Linked DNA regions of Arabidopsis thaliana. The protein of the gene in region 1 interacts with the protein of each later gene in a pairwise test. Each region holds a gene or a part of one and is shown in the gene's direction. Other genes may lie near its edges.

Region 1 (6,043 bases):
AGCTTTTCTTCCTGTGGTTCGGATCAAACCCGTGTCCATTTTAACTCCCATCAAGAACCAGAACATCATGTAAGAACAAGCAGCAGTGAGACTAAACACAATCTCTTTGTAATCCTCTGTAGAAAAGAATCTTCTCGCTGCTGAATTCTCCTTTAGAAAAGACTTGCTTAAAAGAACACCAGTCTACAAACAAAGATCAACACAAACCTCAAATTTCAAATCCAGATAACAAGAAAACGAAATCGAGATTTTCGATTACTTACAAGCATATGAGAAGTGAAACGTATCATGCCAAGACGTCGAAGGAAGAAATGTAAGAATTGCCATAAGAAAGAGATGATGAGAAATATCATTTGCAAGTGTGGAAACGCGTAATTCCAGAAATGAACATTGATGTTAGGATCTGAGAATTTTTGTTGCGGCCAAACACCATTGGAGCTAGGGTTGATAGGTAAGACGTCACAAATCATGGTTCCTTCTCTCCATGTGTCTCTCATGTAAAACATCTTATTATCTCCAAACACCTCCATTGATGATGATGAACCCTCAAATGAAACAAATTAAAAAAAAAAAAAGATTCCAGGAGCAATGTGTTATCGGAGAAGGATTACAAGGATTTGGATCTTTTATATGAATTAATTCTTCTTTTACTGTTTAGGTAACAGAATCTAAAGAACAAGTGATCATCTGAGTTTTAAAACCCTAATAATAGTAAATAATGAATGGGCAAACGTTACCAACAAGAAACAGGTTTTGGCCGGCGACATAAATATATATATTTTAAAGGATTGTCTGATTACTGTTAGTTTTTACAGGTTACAACTTAATTCTGCTAATTTACGGGTAATTGAGCAAACTACAACAGACAAATTGCCAAAGGTCATGAAGAAAGAAATTACAATCCAACTTCTGGCGATACCACGTGCCGCCTCTATTTCTCCGGTGATTCCGATGGATCATCAGATTATGATGACGAGTAATCATCTCCGATCCCGTGTTCTTGCTCACGTCCCGGTGATCAGATTGGAGGAATTTGAAATTGCAATTTAAAACTCATTCAAAAATAGTTAGCTTGGGTAGCAAGCATAATTTTTCCAAAAGAAATTTGTGTATTTTTTTTCTTTATATTTTCTTTTTTTATTTGACAAAGTACGTAATAATAGGGAAAGTGGAGTTCGAACTCCCAGCTACGCAAAGGTCTTGTTTTTGTTAGCTTTCACTTTTTGGTCACATATTGGAAACTTGAAAACTAAATTAAAGTAGTTGAGTTGAATTTGTTTGGTGTAGCATTTTAAAACTGAGGGTAATTATATACATGACATTTGTAATTCAGAGATTCATGTCATCCTACATTCCCATGTTGTGGTGAGCCAGTTCGACTGGCCTATATTAGTGAAGTCTGGTTTAATAACGTCTTATTTACAAATGTGGTTTGCAGGTTGGTTCCCAGCAAAAAGAACTAAAAAACTCTACTAGAATCGCATGTGGAATACACTGTCACTGTAATGGTAGCAGCAACTTCTTTTTTTTAAAAAGCGTTAACTAACGTGGCATTTTTTTCTTCTAAAGGACAAAAAGTAACGTAACTCACCAAAGCTAACCCCAAGAAACAGCATTGATCACCCATATCATCATCACTGCATAGAAATTTTGATTAGTCACCAACAAAACTACTTCTTCCGAAATTAAAAAATGAGCACGCATAAGCAATATTTATTTAATATAATTGCAACTCATGCCGATGGCCACATTATAAACATTTCATGTAAGATCCAATCATATAATCGTATATGCACGCGTGTACAAATATGTGTGCATGAAAAGAAAAAAAAATATGTGTGCATGTAAGCAGATAAGAGAACTGAATGTAGTCGCAACTTTTTTTTTAAAGGATTGGATTTGACATAAGATATTATATAGATGTGAGCTTGACAGTTACAGAACGTATTGTATATAGAACAATACAAGAAAAGGCCATGAAAGAACACTAACACTTGACTTAGGTTAATCATTCTTTAATTACATCGGGATTGACCTTCTTCGTTTATTTAACTCATAAGATGTAGCTGACAAAGTCTAGTTAAGGTTTCATCCGGGGGAGGATTTATGTGGGGATGGTCGCTTTTGCTATCTCGAGTTGACTTCCAAGTTAATCCTAACCACATCACATACTTCTATTATTCCATTTTCAACCTAATGTAAATAATTCATATACATGACAAATGCATTTAGAGAGAAGAAAAAACATCATTCATGACGACAAAAACTTAGTCTATTGAACTTTTCTAGCGTTTTCTCTTGCCAGCATCCGGGTTCATCAAAATCTGTATATTGCATATTATTGTCATTATTGACAAAAAGACATTATTTACAACTTCTATGTATCGTATATTTATAAACGTCTAGATGTCTTTTTAATTTAAAACATCTTTGTAAATCTTTAATTAAATATCTGATTTTAAATAAAATCAAACATAAACATAAACAAATATAGTTGTGGAAGTCCTTTGGCCCAATGGTTGATTAAGGGTTCATCAACCCCCGCTAATTTTTTTTTTCTTTCTAAAACAGATGAATGTAACCTAACGTGTGTCCCGTCTCTAGAAAACATAAAATTCTTAAATTCTAACTTCTAAATTAAGAAAAAAAAACATTACTTGACATAATATATCAATTAGAATGTTTTTTTTTTTAATTACAATATTTTGTTTGGATCAAAATATCTTTTGGATTTTAAATCACTAATAAACTGCAAGGTTCAAAATATAGTTAGGTTCAATAGCTTAGTTTTCAAATTTTACTCAATTTAGTATAATCTTTCCGATTTTAAGATGTTTGATAAAGTGAAACGAAAAAATAAATTACTATATGTGTGACATGTATTTGTTTGTGTGTGTTATTTTGTGTGAATGTATGTCACAACTCGCGAGTATTTTATACGGTAGAGGGTAGGGTGTCTTCTTCATTGCATCTCTCTAGAGTCTGGACCGTCTGGCATATATATGAAACAAATATACCACAAAGAATTTAAAGATTCAACAAAATCCAAAGAAAATATAAGAACAAAACTCAAGCTAGATTCTTCATATACATGCATATACATATGATGAATCGAGATGAGCATATTGCAAAGAAAGTTGAAGGATCAATCTCTAGCTTCTCCGGGGAGACCAGTACTTCCTCAAAACAAATCTATGTTAATCCCGTGACCACGACCGGGACGAAATCAATGGAAGACGACGACGTTTCACTCTCTCTTCTATACAATCTATCTACCTTACATGAAAAAGTCCATCAGATCCAATCTCTGGTCAGCTTCTACATGGTATCTACTAATAACATTAACCAATCCTCGGGGTCAACGTCTTTGGCCGTGGCTAACATCGGAAGTTTGGTTCAAGAGATCATCACGGCTGCTTCATCCATGTTATATACTTGCCAACAACTCCAAATCGGATCTAACAACAACAACAACGATATCGATAATGATCAAACCGTAGATGCAATGGTTTTGGAGTTTTCCCGACAAGAAACCGACCCGGGTCATGATTTTGTGCAAGAGTCGACCAACCTTTTTGGTGTCCAAGAAAGAGGGCAGATCTCGTTTCCCGACCAGAATCTTGATTGGTACAACACCGAAACCATAAACCCTAAAAAAGATAAACATCGTTCTAAACCAAGTTCCGGGAGCTACGATATACTGGAGCTAGACGTAGCGGACCTACTAGCGAAATACACGCATTACTGCCAGATTTGTGGGAAAGGGTTTAAGAGAGACGCTAATCTAAGGATGCACATGAGAGCGCACGGGGATGAGTACAAGACACGTGAGGCCTTGATCAGCCCAACGAGCCAAGACAAGAAAGGAGGATACTCGTTAAAGAAACATTACTACTCCTGTCCTCAACACGGGTGTAGATGGAACCAGAGGCACGAGAAGTTTCAACCGTTGAAATCTGTGATTTGCGCCAAGAATCATTACAAGAGGAGTCATTGTCCCAAAATGTATATGTGCAGGAGATGTAGTGTGAAGCATTTCTCGGTTCTGTCTGATCTTAGGACACACGAGAAGCATTGTGGGGATATAAAGTGGGTTTGCTCTTGTGGGACTAAATTTTCTAGGAAAGACAAGCTGATGAGCCACGTTTCTTTGTTTTTGGGCCACGTACCGGCACATGGGTCGTCCAAGCCGCCGACAATCACCCTAAAGTAAGAACATAGGAAGTTTGAGGTCTATAGAGATTTCATAGACGATATCTCAAGAAATGACACGTGCATTCACTCCCTCTCTTTTTTTTGTTCTTTTTCTTTTCACGAGTTTCTATATTCTCTAAATTAATGTCACAAAGATAAGATAATATACAGATTTGTATCATAGTGACTTGTGCATTAACGTTAATGTTACAAATGATTTTGGTTCTGATGGGTATCATGCATAGATTTTCACTAATCTCAGAAATATGTGGAATCAGTGAGAATCAAAATTTATGTTTAATACGTCTCTCACTTCTCAGATTAATCAACAACTATCTATTGATATATCATGCAGAATTTTAAGAAAATATAAGAAACATCGTTAACTCTGTTAAAATACAACTACATATTAACTTATTAAGATGAGTCCAACTTATTAAGCTGAACTAAATGTTTGTATTTTAGAGAAATTCAAAATTTGTATCTATAAAAAGTTGGTTATTTTTGAAGAATTTTGAAAGAGTTGAAAACTTATAATTATGCATTAGTTCTTCATTTCCATAAAAATGTTAGATAGGAAAAAGTTGTTACCAACTTTGTAGATACGGTAAAATCATAGCCGTTCATTGGTAGACGGATCAAAAGTAACCACGTCAGCTATCCACGCCAAAAACTTTTTCTCTCTTTGCCGCTTCATGAACTTATGGCGGATAACAAAAAGCGCAACAGAAAATTCGAATTTTTCAATATTTCGAAAAAGAAATTTAAAATCACTCGCGCATTAAAGTAAAATAGATCTGAACCATCCATTCACCAAAACCCTTCATCGAACAGCACTCATATCTCCACGTCACGCATCCGCGTTTCAGTATCTTAACTAATCAGATCTCTTCCTATTCTCTTATATAAACAAACACACAATTCTCGAAGATAACAGTATCAAATCAAAACCATCACAGCAAAAAAAACTCACTCCCTAGAAAAGTTTGAAAATGGCGAAGGCAGATAAGAAACCAGCGGAGAAGAAACCGGCAGAGAAAACTCCGGCAGCCGAACCAGCAGCAGCGGCAGAGAAGAAACCAAAAGCCGGAAAGAAACTCCCGAAGGAACCAGCCGGCGCCGGAGACAAGAAGAAGAAGAGATCAAAGAAGAACGTTGAGACATACAAGATCTACATCTTCAAGGTGTTGAAGCAAGTTCATCCAGATATCGGAATCTCCAGCAAAGCCATGGGAATCATGAACAGTTTCATCAATGATATCTTTGAGAAACTTGCTGGTGAGTCTTCGAAGCTTGCGAGGTACAACAAGAAGCCGACGATTACTTCTAGGGAGATTCAGACTGCGGTGAGACTTGTGTTGCCTGGAGAGTTGGCGAAACATGCTGTTTCTGAAGGGACTAAGGCGGTTACGAAGTTTACGAGTTCTTAGATTTGGAATGTGGTTTTGTAATGGAGGAGAAGTAGTAGTAGTAGTTGGAATGTGAAATAGGGTTTATGCTTTTGGGTATCTTTGAGGGTTATGTAATATGGGAATTAGGGTTTTAATTTATGGCACGGCTATGAAATCTACTTAATTTTCCAATGTTCGATTGCAATTTCATTGCTCAATTTCTCAAATCTGTTAATTTTGATTAGAATCTAAAGAGCTCCACTTTAACTGAGATAAAAAAAATTGAAACAGTGATTCTCATTGCGTATATATCTAAGCTTTGATTTGAGAAGTATTGTCCAAGTTATGTGATTTTGAGTCTCAAAACTTTTTAGACAATCAAAAATCAAGTTCTTATGCAGGAATAAATCTGTTTCTTCAGTTACATTCAATGGTTAAGTTGGACTGGTGTTACATGA
Region 2 (6,732 bases), on another chromosome or scaffold:
CTTTGGAATTTATTCTTGAAGAATCCACTGTCCACGAGCATCCGATTCAGCTCTCTGATGGAACCCGTGACGGTTTTGTGCAACTTTGCAAAACATGCAAATGGGGAGTTTTCGATGCTGTTCATTACAAATGTAATAAATGCGATTTACGCTTTCATGTGGAGTGTACCAAACTTTTTCCACAAGCTAGCCACGTTTTACACCCCCAACACCCACTCAAGCTCCTTAGATGTGAAGAAGCACCCGATTACGCCGACAACAAGTGTCTTCTTTGCGGGAATAAGTTTGACGGACGAATTCACCACTGTGATGTTTGTAACTTTACCATATGTGGCGGCTGTATGGAAAACCCACCGCCGCTTAGTGTTGTAAGCCCGACCACCCATGAGCATCAACTTTATCTTCTTTCAAAACCTCTCGGTTTCACTTGCAATGCTTGCGGGACTCAAGCTGATCAAAGCCCTTATTTCTGTCTTCAATGCAACTTCATGATTCATTGGGAGTGTATCGATTTGCCCCGCGTCATAAACATCAACCGCCACGATCATCGCATCTCCTACACTCGTCGTCTTGGACATGGGCAAAATACATGCGGGGTTTGTCGTAAAAAGGTTGATGGCTTCTACGGGGGTTATTCTTGCTCAAAATGTTCTAACTATGTTGTTCACTCGAGATGCGCAACGGACGAGGATGTATGGGACATGATAGAGCTAGAAGGGACACCCGAAGAGCCAGAGGAAGATGCGCCATTCGAGGTGATTGATGATAACACGATCAAACATTTTAGCCATGATCATAACTTAGTAATCAACAAGGATGGGAGGATTCTCCATGAAAGCACACTATGTAAAGCATGTGTCTTCCAGATCTGTTCAGATGCGTTCTACAGTTGCGAGAATTGTGACTTCATTCTCCACCAAAAATGTGCTAACCTGCCTCGGAAGAAACGGCATGTTTGCGACAACCTACCATTTACCCTAGTCACAAATGATACTTCAGACGAAACTTCATGTGATCTTTGTTGGCAAAGTTTCACCGGTTTCAGGTACGAGTGTCTTACTCGTATGGTTACTCTAGATGTACGATGTGGTTCAATTCGAGAACCATTGGTGCACCAAAGCCATCAACATCCCTTATACTTTTCGAAACGTAGTTCTAAGTCTTGTACGGAATGTGGCAAAAACATGGATCTAGATATAGGAAGCTTTAGCTGTGATGAGTGTGACTATAGTTTGGACTTCAAGTGTGCTCTTTTACCGCAGAAAGTAAAGTGGCATAGATACGACGATCATCCTCTTTACTTGTCGTGTGGTGAAAGTAGTGTGGATGGAGAATACTGGTGTGAAGCATGTGAAACAAAAGTGAATTCGAAGAAATGGTTCTATACATGCAATGATTGTGGTGTCATATTGCATATTTCATGCGTTGTGGGAGACTTCTCATATTATATGCCAGGTTCCAAAATAGGATGGGAGGAAGACTTGGTGGTATCCAACACCTCTATGTGTAGACCATTTTGCTATGTGTGTAACTCTCAATGCAAGCTTCCTTCCATTGTTAAGGTCGTTTCCAAAGCCGATGTTGTTTTATACATTTGTTCTTTAAACTGTTATTATAATTTCAACCGCTCTAATAACTACTCTAGTAGTGATTGGTAAGGCATGTTTTAATGAAGAAAAACTTTGTACCATTTAATTCCAAAAGTATGTTTTACAATAGTTTTTTTTTAACCTCAAGCTTATGCGCTTTTTCCACAATTATCAATCTTTTGAATCCAGTCAGCAGCAGTCTCAATGATCTTAGAAACAGAATTTCTTAACAGGATATTTAAAAGAACAAGTTTCTTGACATTAGAGCTGGAACTGGAATCTGGTCTCTGTTTTGTGCTAAAGCAAGAGCAGCTCATGTATACGCAGTATGTCTTTTTAACTTCTTTATTAATCAAAATTTGCTCTGAGTGATTTGAATACATGTGATTTGACAAATGATTCTTCGAATGTTTCAGATGGTATATATATGTTAACTTTATAGTGTTATTCAAATGGGTTATACAATCTGATGGTGGAAATAGAACTTACTTTTGGCTGTATAAAAATTAAAAAACAAAGATTGGCCCAATCCTGGTCTTAAAGACAAAAATACAAATCTTTTGGTCTGAAATTACATAAAAGTTAGTGGATGCAATACAATAATAAAACTTTGGTTTCAGAGACTTGAATGCAGCAAAGTCTACCTCCAAAGCTACTTGGCCAAGGAGTTGTGTGGTTCAGACTTCAAACTGTTTTTTCCACAAAATGTACAGTTCCATCCATTTAAATTCTAAACTATTCTATCCATAAACTTCTATTCCATTTAATGCAAGAAAAAACCTTTTTTGTATTCATTCAATTATTTATGTTTTGGCCGGACACAATAGTTGCAGAGTCAACATATGTGGTCTGAGTTAATTAAATAATGCAAGGATGAAGCCAACACATGTGGTCTCAATCTCAGTAATGAAAAGAATCATTTCTGTGGTGCGAATTCATATTAACTATTTGCAAAGTCTGAAAATGATAAACCACTTGAAAAAAAATCCTGAAAGAAAAGAAAGAGAGAAAAACAAGAAACCAAGTCTGAAACTAGTGCAGAAGAGAAGAGCTTTGTGTTTTGGTGGAAGTAAGAAAACATCACCATGGAAAACTTTCTAGCTTTGTTTAATGAAGGCATGGACGAAGAAGCATCCCGCCTTGAAAAATTGTTACCATTTCATGAGCATCCGTTGATACCTTTTACACGCTTCGAGTTCACCAAGTGTAAAGGATGCTACTCGACCGATGAAGATAATACAAGCTTCATTTCCAAACATCCCGGTTGCAGTTACATTTACGGAGGACACCGATGCAATGAGCCGGGATGTGATGTTGTGTTCCATGAAGAGTGCGCCAAGCCGTTACCAGAAATCGACCACCCTTACCATCCAGTCCATCCTCTCAAGCTGATCCTCCTACATACCAGAGTTTCTAATTGTAGTTTCTGTGGAGAATTTTTCAGTGTCGGTTATCGCTGTAACAAATGTGATTTCCAGTTGGATTTGATTTGCGCGAGGAGACCAGCCCTACTTGTTCTTGCTGAAAACTCCTACCTACACGAGCATCCACTCCAACTCTCCCATGAAGCGCACGAAACACTCAGAGATTGCAAAGGGTGTGGCCATCAACATAATAGCTGGAAACATTTCTACACATGTCATCAATGCGAGTTTTTCATCAGTCTGGATTGTATCGATCATAATAGTCCAGAAGCATACCACACTTCTCACCCCCAACACCCACTCAAGTCACTTAGATATGAAGTCCCTGGTTACGCCGACAAGAAATGTCTTCTTTGCCGCGAGGAGTTTGATGGAATCCATCGCCAGCTTCACCACTGTGGTGTTTGTAATTTTAGCATATGCAGATCATGTATGAAAAACCCACCACCGGTTCTTGTTAAAAGCCCGAGGACCCATGAACATCAACTTCACCTTGTTCCAAGACGCATTGACTTCACTTGCAATGCTTGTGGGACGCTAGGTGACCGTAGCCCTTATTTCTGTCTTCAGTGCAATTTCATGATTCATCGGGAATGTATCGATCTACCTCGCGTCATAAACATCAACCGCCACGACCACCGCATCTCTTACACCCCTCGCCTCGGACATGGAGACGGGAAATGCAGAGTTTGTCGTAAAAATGTGGATGGGTTCTACGGGGCTTATTCTTGCTCCAAATGTTTTGATTATTTTGTTCATTCAAGATGCGCAACCAGAAGGGATGTATGGGACATGATCGAACTGGAAGGGACACCCGAAGAAGAGGAAACTGCGCCATTCAAGGTGATTGATGACAACACGATAGACCATTACGGCCATAAGCATAACTTACGAATTTACCGTGGCTGGAATCTACCAGAAAGTGTAGTTTGTACCGCATGTGTCTTCCAGATTTGTTCAGAACCGTTCTACGCTTGCGCGAGAAAGAGATGCGATTTCATAATCCACGAAAAATGTGCCAAGCTTCCTTTAAAGAAACGTCATGTGTGCCACAACCAGCCACTCGAACTATCCCCAAATTATGGCACCTACTTGTTACATAGGTGTAGTATTTGCCGTCAACTGTTCACCGGTTTCTCCTATGAATCTAAGGAATTAAGGATAGATGTACGGTGCGCTACAGTTACAGAACCATTTGAGCACAAAAGCCATCAACATCCTTTACACTACTCTACAGATCACTCCAAACGTTGTAGTGAGTGTGATGGAGACGGGAAATTGAGTTGCGATGATTGTGAATTTGGTTTGTGCTTCAAGTGTGCTATTTTACCGCAAAAGGTAATGAGGCATAGGTACGACGATCATCCTCTCTTCTTATCTTATGGCGAAATGGGCGTGGCTGGCAAATATTGGTGTGAAGCATGCGAAACAACTGTGAACCCAGAAAAATGGTTCTATACATGCAATGAGTGTGGGATCACATTGCATATTTCCTGCGTTATAGATACTTACGCATATTCCATGCCAGGAGCGTTAACATGGATAGGAACATTTGTATCCAACCACTCTATTTGTAGACCACTTTGCTGCGTGTGCAACTCTCGATGCAAGCTCCCTTTCGTTCGTACGCTTCCCGAGGACGGAGCTGATCTATACTTTTGTTCTTTAGAATGTGAGAAGAAAATTTATCAGGAACGTTTCGAATTTTAAAATTATGTTCTTTACTATGTTTAGAAAACTATTTATTTATAGATGATAATGTTTGCTAGCTTGAATGACTCGCAAATTTGGTAGAATTTGTGAGGAATCTGGGTCTGTTAAATTATTACAAGTCCCTACAATAACATTTGGTTGTGTACTTGTGTTAGTGTAATATATATATATCTCATTGAACCCTAGGGTGCATTAGTGTTTGCCAAATAAAAACCAGAAAAAATATCAACTTATTTATGGATGTAAGATTGGAAAAGGTTGGATCAATCTTGCCAGTCAATCCACTAAATGTTTAAGTTCCTACAAGTCGAAATGTCAATGACAAAAACAGAGACGTGGAAGTGAGAACAGAGCAGAGCAAAACAGAACATAGCAGAGTAAGTCAGTCAGAGCAGGTTGTGTTGTAGAATCACATTAGTTCTCTGATAGAGAAGCCAAAAAACTCAGTTTGTGTTGTTGAACTTGGAACAGAATGAGAACAAGTTAATCACTAAAAAATGTTTGTGTCACCGTCATGTTGCGACCTTAAAACAGAGCCCCCTAATAATTTTTTGTTACACTGGTTCTATTGAATCTATTTTATGGAAAAACTATTACACAATTTGGTTTACCAATACATTGATCCCTATCAAGGAAGCTATGGTTTCAGGCACTGAGCACACTGAAGAGTAATAGAGATTAACAATGCAAACATCATCAAGCCATGTAATTCTGCAGTTTTCAACTTAAAAAGTCAAAAAAATTATGATTTTTCATTCAACCAAAGAAAACTGATGCTCCATTATTACAACAAAACTGTTTCCGTGTAATTCCACAGACCATTACAATTGATTCTTCAGACTATCTAGGAGAAAACAAAAAACCTAGATATGGAATTCTAGAGCTAGAATACTTATCGAATTTTCAAAACTGAGTAAAAAAAAAAAAGTAAACATCAAACAACAAACAACATTGATTAACGATGTGGTCCAAGACAAGTCTCTTGTTGTTTGGGTCTGGCTGCATCAAACAAGCTTGAGATTTTCGGCTGATCAATTCTTTAAGCTAACCTTCCTCATTGATTTACGCCAACTTCATCCTCCTTAACGCTTCCACAAACATTACATTCAAGAACTCTCGAAGCATCATGAGTCTTCGGGGGAAGCGGAGCTAGAGTGCCAAAACAATTCTCCTTCTCACACATATATCTCACAAAAAAGTAAGCATGAGGAAAATTAGATTCATCATCCACACCATTTCCACAAACTTCTTCTTCATTCTCACCTACTGAATCTTCCATCTCTTCTTGTTCATCTTGATCCTCCATCTCTTCCATAATCTCATTCTCATCTTCCTCACCTTCAGACCAACTAAATTCCACTTTGCACCGATCACAGTCACACTTAAAACCGTAATCCTCAAGCAATCTCTTTTGTCTACTCGAATAGTTCATGTTCACAGGGAAGTAGCTTAAACAAACTTCTCTACCTTCAGGAACATCATGAATCATCCTAATGATGATATCAGTATTACCATCAGAAGCAGAGTCAACATAATCGAATCTACAAGCATTAGGAAGACAATCATGATTGAAAAACGAAGTCTTTGGATAAATCCCATAAGCTCGCACAGATCTTTTCTCATTCGAAACAGAGCACGGTTCCATCAGACCAAAGGCGTTAACTTTATCCTTTGACAGTAAAGCCGCCGTGAGATCCGGCGAGATAGACACCGGAAGAGATGGACACACGGAAGATAAAAGAGAATGAAGAAACCCAGCAGCTGCAGAATCACCCGCAGAACAAGAAGGATCTCCATTGCTGCTGCCACTACCTTGGAGAGAGAGCAAAATCTGGAAATCAGAAGGAGAAGCAGCGGCGAGATTGTAAGCAGAGAGGAGGAAACGAGCTTGGACTTGACGATCAGAAGGTTGATCGGAGAATGCAGAGGAGGATGATTGGTGAAGCCGGCGAAGAGATTCGCAGAGCCAAGGAGTATGAGAGGCGAAGCAATTAGGGCTACAAAAG
Region 3 (6,180 bases), on another chromosome or scaffold:
GATTTTAAAATCCCTTGTAAATTATTCTATCCCACTTACTTATGTTTTAAAATCGATTGTAAACCATGCAAACACTTCTAAAATCCCTTGTAAATCGTTTTAAGACACTTACTTATGCTTTTAAAATCCCATGTAAACGTGTTTAACACTTCTTTAAGCTTTTAAAATCCCTTGTAAATTATTCTATGTTAGTTACTTATGCCTAAAAACGGTTGTAAACCATGCATACCCTTTTTAAAATCCCTTGTAAATCATTATCTGCCACTAACTTATGCTTCTTAAATAATTGTTAATGAAGTAAACCCCTTTTAAAAGCTTTTAAAATCCCTTGTAAATTATCTATAACACTTACTTATGTTTTAAAAATGATTGTAAACTACGCAAACAGTTATGCAAATGCCTTGTAAATCATTCTACGACAGTTAATTAAGCTTTAAAAACGATTGTAAAACTTTATTACCTGTTGTGAGATAGAACTCTCTCAAGGAGAAACAGATAGGTTGAGAATCAACTCTAAACCAAAGAGTTGATCCTTTTGTTTTCACTCTCTGCTGCATGAGATAGTGAAAGATTTTCCCAGAAAATCTGATTCCCTTCTTAGCCTTCATTTTTGGTCCCAATTCAACTAGAAGACCAAGAAACGAACTTCTAATCTTCTGAAATAAACACTCGCCTAAAGCTTCCTCTACTTTACTAACTAAATTCCAATCCAAGTATTGTTGAACGGTTCCCAGTGCAATAGATTCCTCACCTTCTCTGTAGATCTGTTCAGGCAATGTAAGGATTTCACTCTCTGAATCCATCTGCAAAACATGTTATGAAACATCGTCAGATCTACTATAAAATCGACTATAAAATCGATTATAAAAACGGTTACCGTCGGATCTATCGATATCTCTGGGGATTGTTTGCGTCGTAGAGAAATGATCTGAATCCGTCAGCGAAGAACAGATTTATCGGAGAGGAAATTCGTCAGCGATTTTGGGGTTTCTCGGAGAGAAAATTTGTCGGCGATTTTGAGTGAAATCGGAGAGGAAATTCGTTGGCGATTTTGAGTGAAATCGGAGAGGAAATTCGTCGGCAATTTTGAGTGAAATCGGAGAGGAAATTCGCCGGCGATTTTGAGTGAAATCGGATAGGAAAATTCGTTGGCCAAAACGAAGAAGTTTGTGCCAAAACGAATTGTATTGTGAAACGAATGTGAAACCTAATCATTCAGTAAGGGTAAGACAGTCATTTGCCATATTAGAAAGGGTAGTTTTAAAAATGGCCTTCAGGAAAGGACATTTTTACAAAAGGTTATTAGAATAAGGGCAGTTTTGCAAATCTCCCAATTAAATATTAAAGTATTTTGAATCAATGGCATTTTTGTAATTAATCTAAACCGGAAGGATATTTTTTGGTTTATATTTTATTTCTCTTTCCTATTTACGTAAATAACATATTTTTATGTATAAATTCTTAATATTCTGTTTATCCATGTATATATTTTTAACTCACCCTATAGTTTTCTAAGTAATTTAAGTATTTTGGTTACATTTGGTTATATTTTGGTAAAATATAACTAATATATTTTTGGATAAACTAATCAGGCATCTCGGTTAGATTTAGGTATAGATGAGTAAAAAACTCGAACTCGACCTGAACCCAAAAATATTTTGAGTATTTTTGATTATTTTTCAATTCTTACTAAAATAACTAAATCGATCCAAACTCAAACCAAAACCGAACCAAAATTTTAGAATACATGAATGGTTTTTAACTTCATACCTAAATAGATCCGATACTCAAAAAAAAAAAGAACCGAACAGATATGAGTACCCGAATATCTACACCTGCCCAGTATTATTATTATTATTTTTTTTGAACAAACACCGGTACTATTATTTTACCAGCTAATTTTTCTCCCTTTAAGAACGTTTTGGACCTATTGGTCTATTGGATACAAAACTATTGTATTCATTTTAAATTTTTAATGGGTCTTCTTTGTTAATAAAGGCCCATTAAATATACTATCCAGGCCCATTTAGTCCAACTACTTATTACACTGTTGATTAATCGCCGTTTAGATATTTTGCATTGGAGAGAATCTTCACCGTTCAGAAAACTGAAGATCGAAGATCACCAAAACCGGCCAAAAAGTATAGTACACGTCCGAAGATTCTAGATCCATCATGCCATTTGCATTGCATGGCCTAACTCTCGTAGAAAACCCAAACAAATTCTCCCCCACACAAATAATGGGACAAAAACCAAATTAAACCAAATTGTTTCCCTATTGAAGAAAATAAAATCTTCCACAAATTTTATGAATTTTTCATAAAGTCGGCAACTTCACACGAGTCCAGGTCGATTCTTAAAACAATGATCTTTAACCATCCACGTGTCAAAATCCCACCTTAGCTTACCTCATTTGTTCTATTCCAAATACCTATTCTATCCCTTGGATCTTGACTTATATGTTCATAAGAAAGTGTACCAGATAAGGGTATATACGTCATTTACAGTCCAGCTCAACGGTTATAAAATCCTAATTCGTGAGGTTTCTCTGAAGAACAAACACAAAAATGGCGACGGTACCATTGTTCACCCAGTTTCCCTGCAAAACCCTAAATCCAAGCTCATCAAACACTAAACACCAATCGAAATCTCCGATCCTACTACCGATTAACTCAATAAATCGGCGATCGGAGATTGGAGTCTCTGTTCATCGGCCAGATTTCAAAATCCGAGCGACGGACATCGACGACGAATGGGGTCAAGATGGAGTGGAGAGAGTATTTGCCTCATCTTCAACCGTATCGGTAGCAGATAAAGCAATCGAATCCGTGGAGGAGACGGAGAGGCTAAAGAGATCACTAGCGGATTCGTTGTACGGAACAGATCGAGGTTTAAGCGTATCGAGTGATACGAGAGCTGAGATCAGCGAGCTCATCACACAGCTCGAGTCTAAGAACCCTACTCCAGCTCCTAACGAAGCTCTGTTTCTCCTCAACGGCAAATGGATCCTCGCGTAAGTACTTTTAGTTCTGATACTCTCCTAGGCACGGCATGTAATATTAGTTTTGTCCCAAACATTACTCAAACCGGTGATCTCTAAGCTTCGTCTAGGATCTTTACCAATTAAGTTAATGATACTTTAAACTTACCGGTGGAAGTTTAATTTCCCGGTGAAAACTGTTTAGTTCCGTTATGAATGATTTGATTTTGATAGTGAAAAGCAAGTTGTGGTTACAAAGAAGATTTAATTATGAATTTGGATTATGATTCTGTGTGTAGTTATGAGCCTTCGTTTATTTTTAGCCGTTATTGTTATGAATCAAGAACTTAGTTTTTAAGTGTTTATCTCGTGAAGCTACACGTCGTTCGTGGGGTTGTTCCCATTGCTCTCACGAAGAATTGAACCGTTGGTTAAAGTGGATGAGATCTCACAAACCATTGATTCCGATAGCTTCACCGTTCAAAACTCTGTCCGGTTCGCTGGTCCGTTTTCCACAACGTCGTTTAGCACCAACGCTAAGTTTGAAATCCGAAGTCCTAAACGTGTCCAGGTAAATCAAGAATCATCCCCTAAAACCACAAATGGCAAATGCTAATGTTACATAACCTAATTGTTTTTTTTGTTTTGTTTGTTGTAGATTAAGTTCGAGCAAGGTGTTATAGGGACTCCTCAGCTAACGGATTCGATTGAAATACCGGAATCCGTGGAGGTTCTTGGTCAGAAAATCGATCTCAATCCCATTAAAGGTTTACTTACATCAGTCCAAGACACTGCTTCTTCAGTGGCTAGAACCATTTCAAACCAACCACCATTGAAGTTTTCTCTGCCTAGTGACAACACGCAGTCGTGGCTGCTCACAACTTATCTCGACAAGGACCTTCGGATCTCGAGAGGCGATGGTGGAAGCGTCTATGTGCTCATCAAAGAAGGAAGCTCTCTCTTAAACCCTTAAATCATCATAACTCTCATCACATCCATAGTAACATATATACAAGTATAGACCCATCTGTCTATGTTTACTAGTGTTGTAACTGTTATATAGCTTCTTTACCTGTTGGAGAGTTATAAACTTATAATGGATGTTACTCTTGGTATACTGTACTACAATACATATACATAACTACATACTTGAACAGGCCAGTTATGGGTTTGCAACAGCAACACTTAGCATTGGTTCAAATTTGGTATACTAGGAGGGTTTGCATTCTGTATGGCATTCGGTTTTCCGGTTTAGTTTCAGTTCGAACTTTTGACTCGGATTGGATCAGGTTGTCAGCATTTTGGTCTGGTTTGAGTTTACAAAGGGGATACCAAATTGAAACCAAAATTTGTATCTAGTTCTGTAATTTTAATTTCAGTTATTTTTGGTTTATGAATGGTGGTAAATCTATTTATTACTTAGAAAACCGGTTTGTTACAAACCAGGTATCTTACACAAACATTTGAAAGAAACAACTGATCTTTGTTCACTCTTAGCTACGAAACAAATCAGCACAAACCTCGTAAAAGATCTCGAGAATGGCAGACCGATATTCGCGAGGATTCATCGATAGATAGTACTCCAAGAGGCTTCTAAGTTCATCTGCTTCTTTGATCTTGTTTGCTACAATCATCTCAACCATAGAGTCTCTAAAATCCTTTCTTGGATCAAAAGAACATTTCTCCATCGCCATCATGACAATGAACTTAGTGCTACTGATACTACCCTCACTTCTTCTTCTTCTTCTTCTCATCTTTTGTTGTCTTATCTTCTCTTGATGTGTGGCTTCTTGTGTCTCTCTGATCATCTGCTCTAGCTTCTCCTGAACCATGTAGTGTGCTAGACTAGAGAGCGAACCGTGATGGTCTGAAAATCTTGAACTCTTGTCTGCTTCCACCGAGGAAGAAGAAGAAATGCTGAGTCTTGCTTTGTTGCTGCAACACAAAGCTCTGCAGACTCTTGCTTCTTTTGTTTGGTGTTGTGATTGTTTGTTATGCTTCTCTGCTTTTTCTTCTGCTCTGTTTATGAGTTTCATGTTGAAAGTTAAGTCACATTATAATCAGGTTTTGAGGATTTTAGATGTTTGTAAACGCAAATAGAAAAGAGTTCTAATTAAAACATTTATGTGTAAATTGAAAATGTGGGGCTTGTTCATCATGATTATGTCTTGATCATAATATAATTAAAACCTCAATAAACGATATATTTTTAAATTTTAGTCTCGCAACAAGTTTCCAACGTTATTCATTTGTGTAAACTAATATTTATTTATTTATATTCTTCAAAATCATTATCTAGTATCTACGATTTGTGTTCATAATGCAATACAAAGTCGTACACTTAGATATATAAGGTTAGATTGAACTTTCATTTAATTTTTCGAATTGATAAATTTTCTACAAGATCAAAGAAAAGAGTGTGTTCAGTGAAATTTGATTCATTATTTCAAGTCATTGAAACAATGATAAATCGACCACTATCACTTAACTAATATATAATTAAGGCTTATTGGAAAAAAAAGATGTTGTAGTTTCTGAAAAATATATGTCAAATCAAAAGTAGGAATATAATAGAGAACATTAGGTCTGATTGAAGATAACTGTTTTTTTTTTTTTTTTTTGAAGAAAGGAGTACTAAATGCATGTATTTGTGTCGTGTTTTAGAAATATAGGGGTGATTAATTTGATTATGATGTGATGTAGACCATCTTCATGTCTACTTTAGTTTAGTTGTTGTTGTTGAAGATGAGATATCTAAACTTTAAAGTTTTTGGTAATGTGGAAAAAGTGATCAATATGTAATAGTTGACATCATCTGTCCCAACTAAAAAATAGAAAGAGAAAAAAATGAAAACCACTGATATCGATTTTTGTTTTAACATTCTCTCAAAGGACATACTAAATTTTAAATAGATCATAATTGCAATGTGCCATACATGATTTCGCTAGAACCTATATATGATGTAATTTCATCATTCATGCAATGCAGTTCAATAGTAAAAGCTGGTTAAAATCGTTAAATATAAATGATAGATTAAGAGATAACGTATGGTTGTGTCTTGGAGACAAGACATGCTTTATCCTGCTGGCTTGTACAAATACCTCATTTTTGCTTTGGGGTTTAGAAAAATTTATAATCTATTGTTCTTTTATTGGTAAATATATATTGAGAACAGTTGGATCATGAAAGATAGAAAAAA

What was found.
Region 2: the proteins of AT5G22890 (region 1) and AT2G19650 interact in a two-hybrid assay, tested with the Arabidopsis thaliana proteins (one large-scale study listed by BioGRID).
Region 3: the proteins of AT5G22890 (region 1) and FIB interact in a two-hybrid assay, tested with the Arabidopsis thaliana proteins (one large-scale study listed by BioGRID).

Annotation. Positions count from the first base shown.
Region 1 is NC_003076.8:7,651,711-7,657,753, reverse strand, and holds AT5G22890 (C2H2 and C2HC zinc fingers superfamily protein), read left to right. Parts: upstream 1-2,918; 5' UTR 2,919-3,091; coding exon 3,092-4,213; 3' UTR 4,214-4,497; downstream 4,498-6,043. Other genes in the region: CHX3 (cation/H+ exchanger 3), read right to left, coding at 1-183, 264-530; HTB2 (histone B2), read left to right, coding at 5,187-5,624. UniProt on the Arabidopsis thaliana protein: Probable transcription factor. Together with STOP1, plays a critical role in tolerance to major stress factors in acid soils such as proton H(+) and aluminum ion Al(3+). Required for the expression of genes in response to acidic stress (e.g.
Region 2 is NC_003071.7:8,491,646-8,498,377, reverse strand, and holds AT2G19650 (Cysteine/Histidine-rich C1 domain family protein), read left to right. Parts: upstream 1-2,485; 5' UTR 2,486-2,674; coding exon 2,675-4,723; 3' UTR 4,724-4,909; downstream 4,910-6,732. Other genes in the region: AT2G19660 (Cysteine/Histidine-rich C1 domain family protein), read left to right, coding at 1-1,658; ASHR2 (ASH1-related protein 2), read right to left, coding at 5,781-6,732.
Region 3 is NC_003075.7:1,929,594-1,935,773, forward strand, and holds FIB (fibrillin), read left to right. Parts: upstream 1-2,289; 5' UTR 2,290-2,567; coding exon 2,568-3,013; intron 3,014-3,355; coding exon 3,356-3,551; intron 3,552-3,638; coding exon 3,639-3,953; 3' UTR 3,954-4,357; downstream 4,358-6,180. Other genes in the region: AT4G04025 (transcription repressor), read right to left, coding at 4,416-4,430, 4,501-5,016. UniProt on the Arabidopsis thaliana protein: Probably involved in light/cold stress-related jasmonate (JA) biosynthesis. Contributes to the protection of photosystem II (PSII) against light stress.